2 linked regions of the Drosophila melanogaster genome follow. The protein of the gene in region 1 interacts with the protein of each later gene in a pairwise test. Each region holds a gene or a part of one and is shown on either strand. Other genes may lie near its edges. The genes, in order: CG13603 and wat.

Region 1 (3,895 bases):
GTATATTTAGTAAAAGACGCTCATCTCACGCGCGTTTTTGGAGAATTTTTGAGGGCTTAAAATTGATGCTGGAGATATAATAACTCATAACTTGAATTAAGCGAGCGGCCGCCAAGCTGGGCCAAACTCAAAAGCTAGCAGCAGCAGGAGGACGACGGCCATCAGGCCTGCCCTAAGCCAGGATCATCGCCTCGCCGCCGTCCTGTCCAATTGTTAGCACTGCACCTTGCCGAACTGGGCGCGACGCTCCTGGTACTCGCGGTACTCCTTGTAGTGCATCTGGATCTCCTGCGAACGGTAGCGCGTTAGCTTTATGGACTTCCTCGTCTCCGGAGTTATGGCAGCCCGATAGCCGCCCTTCCGTAGGAGTGAGTCAATGGTCTGCAGCTGGTCCCAGCCCTGTTCGGTGGCCACCTGCGGCAAATAGGTGGCTGTGCGCTTGCAGCCGCGTTCTGTGAGGAACTCGATGCGGATGCCATGGACGCCCAGTTGCCAGTCCAGGTGGCCCTGAGCCTCCTCGAAGTTCTGCAGAATCGAGACCGAGACAGTTAGCCGTGGCAACTCATCTCTAGAGATAGGTGCAAATCTAGAGTCCTTAAAGGCGCTGGTCAAGGCGTACTCCCGAAGACCATGGTGCAGTTCCATTGCACTAAAAGTACCAATGCAGCCACGCAGCCTCTTGTCACGCCCAATCTTCCAGGTGACAAAGAGTGGGTAGGCGTCGTTGCTAAACACCGGCACCGATGGACCATCGACGTTGTTCAGCTCACAGTCAAGCACCTCGAAGCAGAACAGGCACATGTCTGGCACAGCGACGGTCTTCATGCCATGGCCGTTGGAGAACCGTTGCGGCTGGTGCACCATCTGCTGGTGCTGGTATTCCGGATCTCCGTTGCTGGAGTGCGGCTGCTGCTGCTGGTAGTTGTTGTAGTGGGAGTTGGACATGCTGTTCTGTGTCAGAACTGGTTCACTAATTACGTTAGGTAGGTATATTGAGGTTACAACTAATGGCAGTGCACGTTGATGCTCTAAGTTCAATTAACACAACAGAACAGCCCCAGTAGGAGTTGCCACAGAAACGCTGCCGCCAGTCCTCTAATCGTCTTCTGAAAATCGGTGGTGGTGTTTAATGCTGGTCTCGAATTCCAAGGCCTTGGCTTACCTGCTACTGCGTAAACTAGGTCACCTGCTGCCCTCCAGTTTGCGCTGACCTCTAGCCTGTGATTCCTGGCTCCCTGCTAACTGATCCAGACCTCGTCCCCGTGTTCCTTGGCTGCCGTCCTGCTGCTAGTTAGCTCATAAGCACCTCATTGAATTGCGTCCGCTGATCCGCTGATGCGTCTGCAAAAGGTCGTGTGCGAGATAGACAATAGAGGAGGGTGCTCTTAAATGGATTTCCATGTTAATTCGCCCGAGCGATCTTCACCTTAGGTTTCACAACAGCCTCTATTGGAAAATTCGGGGAAGTGGGGAAAATCGGAGGAGAAAGCCCCCCTCCTCCTATTGCATTAATTGCTCTTTGTTCGCCCTGGCTGTTCCCCCCACCCCCCGCACTTATAAAGGGCTACGCGCCACACATGCACACGGCCCTTTGTCTTGGCTGACCCATCTAGGAGCCAGGGAGCACCGTAGGTAGCCCTCAAGAACAATATTTTACCTTTTTTCAATGTAAACAAATTTTACACTTTTTTACGAGTTCAGTGGCGAACTAGAGATGGCTTAACGAGAATGATGGCCCCAGGGTGTATATATCGATAATTGCGCATACCAATGCAGGCAGCTGCAGGGTGCTGTCCAACACTGCTTATCGATAACACCAAAAGTGCATTGCCGTGTTTGTCTGAATATTGTGGAGTTTCATTTGTTTTTGTTGAAATCAAAAGCAAAATGGCTTTGGCCAACGTGCTGCAGCTAAGCCAGATAGCTGGCCATGTCATCCTGTTTATCCTGTCGCTGTGCATCGTCGTGCCATTGTTTATAAACCTCGACCAATTCTGGTAAGTGCGCAGTTCCTCTTTGGTCCCCTGTAAATTATTGAGTTTCTTTATTCTATTTTCCCACAGTGGCCACTGCCTGCTCTTTACAACTGGCAAATGGCGGGAGGAGGACGGCATGTTCGATGTCCAGTGGGCTTCCAATGGCTTCTGCAACTTTCCCCTGATTACCGGGTTCTTCCTGCTAATTATTTCGGTGGTGCAGATTTATAGGTATGTATCTTGTGGGTATTATTCGGGGTTTTTGACATCTAGAAAGTGAATTTCTTTGCCAAATAGATACGCCCGCATGAAGGAGGAGGCCTCGTTTATAGCTCTGTTCATTGACGTCGTTCTGGGCATTTGGATGCTGGCTATGTCCATTTTGTCGGCTATTTTCATTACCCTGGGCTTTATTGTCTGGTGCGATTCCATGACCGAGAGATTCCCATCCTGTGCCATTTCCGCCGGTCAGAACATTATCCACGGCGACACGGAAAAAATTAACACCTCCGGATTTTACATTGAAATGGGAACCACTCAGGTAAGATGATACAAAAAAAAAATTCTCATCTATTTTTTTTTTGCTTTCTGTGGCAATTCTGAATGTTTGATTACGTATACGTAATATTTTATATTTTTATGTAAAACCAAATATTCAGTTGTGCATGCGAAATTAAGTTAATAAACTCTTTTAACCACTTCTATTGATTTTTGTTACAGTTTGGCGCATGGGGTTCATTCGCAATTTCCGTTGGCATCGCCGTCATCGCCCTTCTGAAACTGATCGACAACCACCAGGTGCGCAACATCAAGGTTTCCATGTACTTGGAGCGACAGCGGTTGGTGAATCAGCAGCAGTACGACGGCAGGTCGACCCCGCCGATCGTTTCGAACGCATCCTCCGACACGGAACAGAACAAATAGTTGACGTTTGTGATCAATCAGCAGCAGTTTGTAATTCTCTACGTATTTCTCATCATGTGCGTTATAATCATTGTATGTCATTTCGTCCTCGTCCTTATCATTGAGGCAGACAACCGGCAACACACATTATCTTTGTAGTGAAGGAAACTAGAGATATTAGCCCTATGTATTAAGCCAACATACGTGATATGTAATGTATATATATATATATGTATTTAATTAATTATTCCATGTTACAAATATAGTAAAACCAAATTATTAATATTTCTGAAATCATTCATTTATAAAGATACTTACGTATTGCGGATCATCCCCAACAATCCCAAGCATTCGAAATGAAACAATCAATGCAACATGTTATGTCAGTTACATTTATTTTGCAGTTATCTTCTGTGTTGTGTGTGTTTTCTTGTTGTTGATGTCATTCGAATCTGTCGTAATGTCAAACGGATTTGGGTTTGGATTTCACGTTTGCATTGCAACAAAATGTTCTTATAGACTTTAAAGCGACGCTATTGTACATTTAATATTAAATTCCGTATTTGCTTGCGTAGTCTGTTACAATTCAATTAAAAATTTCTTGATCGCACGGCATTTAGCCCCTGATCGCTGTATTTTTGCGTCTAAATTCAATCTTTGCCTGCACCGAGTTTGTTTCTTAAATGTGGAGCAAAAATGGTGGAGATTTACTTTTGGTATAGAGAAAAATAGTTACTTGTACATTTACGGGCTTTGCAGCTGAATCTCATCGATACTGTATCTGCATCTACGACTGCTTGGAGTTTGGTATCGGTATTCTGTTTTTCTGTTTTCTGGCATTCATGAAACAATTTCCTGGGATCTTACAATTAACACTACATCAATGTATGTACTATAATTAGTATTTTTAGTTTTTGCGTTTTTTTTTGTTTTATGGGTAATCATGTTTTGGATTTCTTTGAATAGCATATTATTTAAACTTACATTCTATTTTTGGTTTTTTTTTTCAGTGTTTT
Region 2 (4,961 bases), 5.0 Mb from region 1:
AACTCACCCGATAATAGTTGAAATTGACAAAATTTATGTTCAAAACATACCTTTATTTAGGAACGTTGCCACTTGGCAGCTTGAAAAATGTGCAGATACCGGAGGCACAGATGCAGATACAATGCAAACATTACTCAGCCGCATTGCTCGGCTACTAAACAATTTAAATGAAGATGTTCCCAATTGGATTCATGGTCAGGCGGCCGATGAGTTATTTATGCATACTTAAACACGCCTGGAAAATGCAAGGCGAAGAGCGCCTTCGGATATCTTGGCCATTTGGACACTTGGCCGTTTGGCTGTTTGGCTGCTAATTCGCAGCAGAAGCAATATTCGCACATTTATCGATTGCAAATCAATTTCGTGCAATTGCACATCTCACGTAATGTCGGCCCCTCTTGGCCAGGTCGAAACGCAGTGGCTCTGGCTCTGGATTTGGCTTTGGACTTCGATTTGGATTCGGAATCGGCTTGGGCTTGGGCTTTAACTGGCTGCAATGCATCGCTGCCGGATTACCCCTCGATTAATGCTGCTTGCATACAAATTGGCGCATTTACGTTCGCCTTCACCTGCTATATGGGAATCTCGGGGGGTCTTCCCTATCCACAAGATACAGATACAGATACAGATACAGATACAGATACAGATAGAGGTGCAGATACAGATATAGATACAGACACGCGCCTGCACTCGTTAGCCAGAAGCCTGAAGCCTGAGGCGTTTGCCTTCCTTTTGGCATTCGGCAGGCAGTTGGCCAAATTGCATAAACAAAATCGCGCAGCGAAATGAAAAGTGCGCCAAGTGCGAAATATAAATTACACCGCGAGCATTCGCATGCAAATTCCGATTCGGATTTCAATTCGAAAACATTGTCGCACGTTGAAAGTGGTAAGTGGCAAGTGGCAAGTGTCTTTCGGTGCAATCCTAATCAGCATGACTGGCCCAGTGCCAGTCACACTGCAAATCCCATCGCATCCCATCCCAGTTATCCCATTCCATTCCCTGGGTGCTGGATAGAAATGGCAACGAGGCGAGGTGACAACATAAGCAGACTTTTCGCGGGATTTGTCAAATATTTGCGCAACGCTGCGCTTATCCATCCAAAAAAAAGAAAAGCACTAAATCTCTGGAAAGGGAGATCCAAAACTGCAGCACCGAGTCCCAAAAACCCAGGAACCCAAAAAAAAACCCCCTACCCCGCTTGCCCACTTTTTTGTGTGCGCTTTCACGCCTCTTGGAAGGCGGGCAAACTTTTATTATTATTTCATTTTTTTTATGTTCGCCGCGCCTCGCAAGTTCAAAAAGTTTAATGCTATTTGACTTTGATTCAATGTTTGCATTGTGCCCGGGCACATCATCGATTATTTTCCACTTGACGCCCCACCACGTCAGCCCACTGAACATGGAACATGGAACACCAGAGCCACCAGAGCCATCCGCCCACGGATCCCGAAGCGAACTCCCAACGAATCCCCATCCGCATCCGAACTGGAATACCAGTTGTTTGTGGTGGACAAATGAAATATGTTTGGCCGCATCAAAAAGCCCTGGCACTGAAAATTGATAAATTGCGAATTAATTGAATCGCTATGACATGAAGTTTAGCACTATTTTCTCGTCTCGCCTCAATTAAAGAGTTGGCTGGGTTTTTCCTGCACAGATACTTAGATACTTTAATTGCATCCTTGAGGCCCATTTAATTGTGGCACACAAATCGATTTTTTAAACTCTGTTTCATTTCAGCACGATATGATGATATTCTCATGCATATTTCATTGAATGCATTTCATTGCCATTTAAATTTGGCCAACGAAAGTATTTGTTGTATAAAGGGCTTGGGGGCGTCCACTCTTTAAATTCTTTATGAACTTTAATTTCCAAATTACATCGCTTAATTGAGTTCGGATTTTAAATGGCTTGTAAAGCTGAGGCAAATTGCACATTTCTGCGCAGCTGAAATATGATTTACGTAATATAATAATATTTAATGCAACACATTTTTATTGCGACATTTCACTGAAATGCGTATCTTCTAAATATTTAAAATCCTCTTCTGGCCTTTTAGTCTCTTTTACAAAAGGTATGTATATTTTTGTATATTTTTGAGCATCAAGTAATTTCTTTTATAGCCAGCACAGAACAATTAGTCACGGATTTGTAAAACCAAATGTCACAGATAATATTATTTATTCTGCCAAATTAGTGAGCTGCTAAGTGGGAATTTAAATATTGATCGAACTGCTCTTGATCCAGTAATGAATGTTTTTCCCAATCTAATCAATTATTTTTTGGGTTTGGCCATATATAAAATACGAATGAATGCAAACTTGTTTGAAATACACAAAGACCACGGGAGTAATATAATAATCCAACTGGCGATTATCGATTCTTTGGCAGCCGTAACTCTTTTGCCATTGCAATGGCAAAACAATGAGTTATTTCCCAATTGCCGAGTGGGTTTGTTTGTGTATTAAATTTGGGAAATTCAATGAAATTTCACACATTTTTTCGTGAATGCCTGTGTGCTGGCAATTGGCTATGAGCTCTTCGTCGGCCCCTCCTGCACCTGCGGAGCGAATCCAACCCGTTTTGGGTATTTGGGTATATGGGTATTTTTTTTAGAAAGCCATCAACGCCAGCTACATTACCACCACCACTACCTACAGTGCCTAGCATATACGTAATGGCATATGTCATACGATTACCAGGTATACGGATAGCAGAGCAGATTGTCTATAATCCCATGTAATTCAAGACTCACCGATTTGCTGGCTGCACAGGCACAGATCCCACGGCCACGGATTGGATTGGAGTGGCTTTCCGCAAATTGCTGGCTAATTGGAGGGCTCGTGGATCTGCCAAAACGAATCTTGCTCGCTGGCATACAGGGATATATCTCTTGGTTTTCTATCTTTTTCAGTTGCCACTTTCGAAATATATAAAAATTCTCTAACCAAACGCGCTTTACAACTGCAGCACGCGCTGTTGCACAAGAGTAGCGAAAAGAGCGATGCCAAATTGGTTGCAACAGGTGGAAAAACTGGGAGCGCACCGCGATCCGAACCGAATCGGTTTTGTATATCCAGCGAATTGAGTCCCGAGTTTGAAAACTAACTTTTGAAGTCGATGCGAGCGTTACGCGTTCCAGAACCGCGCTGCCAGGCAGACGAAAACAGACTCAGCTCGATTGAGGCTCGCAAAAACCACAACACCTGACGGCGGCTTCTCAGTCCGTGGATCGGCGCCGTTCAGCGGCTCGATGGTGGTGCGCTTGGCATCTCAGCGGCTCAGCGGTTTGGTGGCTCAGCGGCTCAGCGCCTCAGCGACGGTGGCGTCGACTGCGACGGCGACTGCGGCGTTTTGTGGGCGGTAAGCCAAACTTAAAAAAAAAATCAAGTCAAATTGAGTGGCGCAGTTTGGACTGGCGATTGAAGTGTACACATGTACATAGTCGTACTAACTTGCCGCACCTGAGCATCGCTTTCGGACACTGCCAGTGTTATGATCCAATTTTATGGAGCCTCGTAAAGCCGAAGCATTTGAGATATATTTGCGGTATATGTACATCGGACTTCACTTAAGCGCTGGTCACTTGGGTTAAAATAGCGCCGGTTACTTAGCTTACAGCTTGCCATTCATCCTATTAAATGGAGCATTTTGAAGGTTCCAAAGCATCTTTAATAAACAATTAACAAAACGTGCTGGTAATCAAAGATTACGCCAGTATCTTTTACAATTGCCTTATTCAGTTGAGTTTCAAAATTGAATATTCCCATACCCAATGTATACTAGTAGTTATCATTCCAACGAAGATGACGAATACTCAAAATATTAGCAAAGATTTCGAGATGAACTGTAAATATTACTCATACGCAGCGTGTACATATATCATATATTATGAGGCTCCATATAATTGAATACATAGCGATTGAATTTTCGGATTATCATTATGATTGTTAAGAAGTGCAAAATGATTAACCGAAAATGTATTGGATTACTTTGCATTATATGTATGTTCTTTTATCTTGTATAAAAAATTCCGTTGTTAATTAAGTGATGATAGCATATGATTATCATGCTGACCCCAAGTTGTGTCTGGTAAATAAAGTGATTACTAGATGAGATCTCTGAAACCGTGCTGGCTAATTAAAGACATTCGGCGAACCTGGACCCTGTCTTTATAGTTTGATCTGTCTGACAGGGCTGAACCCACACGGACCTCCGGCTCAGCTGACTCATCCTCGAGTGCAGTGCACATCCGCTCCATCCCTATACGAATCCCAATCGAAAACCCAGCCCAATTGGTATTCCTGCTCCGTTCGCCCGGAGACGTCGTTCGACGTAGTTCGCTCATAAATTTTGCATTTGCTGTGTGATTTTCCTTTTTAGACGCGACAAGATTTCACTGATTTCGCATATATCCCAGCATTTATAATATATTCGCCTGGGCCGAGTATTCTAAGTCGAGTTCAGTACTGTTCAGCTGTTCGGCTGGTAATCGCAGTGCCGCCATCAATCACGTAGTTCCCAGCATGTTTTGTCGCCGATCCCATCTGTATCTGTATCTTGACGCAGTATCTTCTCACACCAGAGCCAAGCTCAAAGAGTCTATAAACTCGAATATCTCTCGCACAAACGCTGTACGAAAACGAAACAAAAGGCCCATTAATGACAAATGCGAAATAACGAAATTAAAATAATAATATTCGCGATCAAGACACTGCATATTAATGGTGGCCCCATCAAAAGACACTCAAGTGCACACTTTTCAGGTATGATCCGATCTTGTTCAGCTCTGTTCAAACACTTGACAATGACATGATTCGCTTTTGATGTATAATTACTTCACTTTCGAGGTACAACGGCCTGCAGATTGTTTGATGCCTTTATTTATGCTGTGTAATTGCTTTGAAATGCCTCTTTACTTATGCAGATTTCGGGGCTCCATTATATAAAAAGTT

The links.
Region 2: the proteins of CG13603 (region 1) and wat interact in a two-hybrid assay, tested with the Drosophila melanogaster proteins (one large-scale study listed by BioGRID).

What each region holds. Positions count from the first base shown.
Region 1 is NT_033777.3:23,984,478-23,988,372, reverse strand, and holds CG13603 (uncharacterized protein), read left to right. Parts: upstream 1-1,803; 5' UTR 1,804-1,887; coding exon 1,888-1,997; intron 1,998-2,063; coding exon 2,064-2,207; intron 2,208-2,273; coding exon 2,274-2,517; intron 2,518-2,696; coding exon 2,697-2,900; 3' UTR 2,901-3,160; downstream 3,161-3,895. Other genes in the region: CG5902 (uncharacterized protein), read right to left, coding at 214-945.
Region 2 is NT_033777.3:29,017,262-29,022,222, forward strand, and holds the start of wat (waterproof), read right to left. Parts: upstream 3,146-4,961; 5' UTR 2,762-3,145; intron 1-2,761. UniProt on the Drosophila melanogaster protein: Catalyzes the reduction of saturated fatty acyl-CoA to fatty alcohols. The preferred substrates are C24:0 and C26:0. Necessary for the final stages of tracheal maturation, to facilitate the transition from water-filled to gas-filled tubes.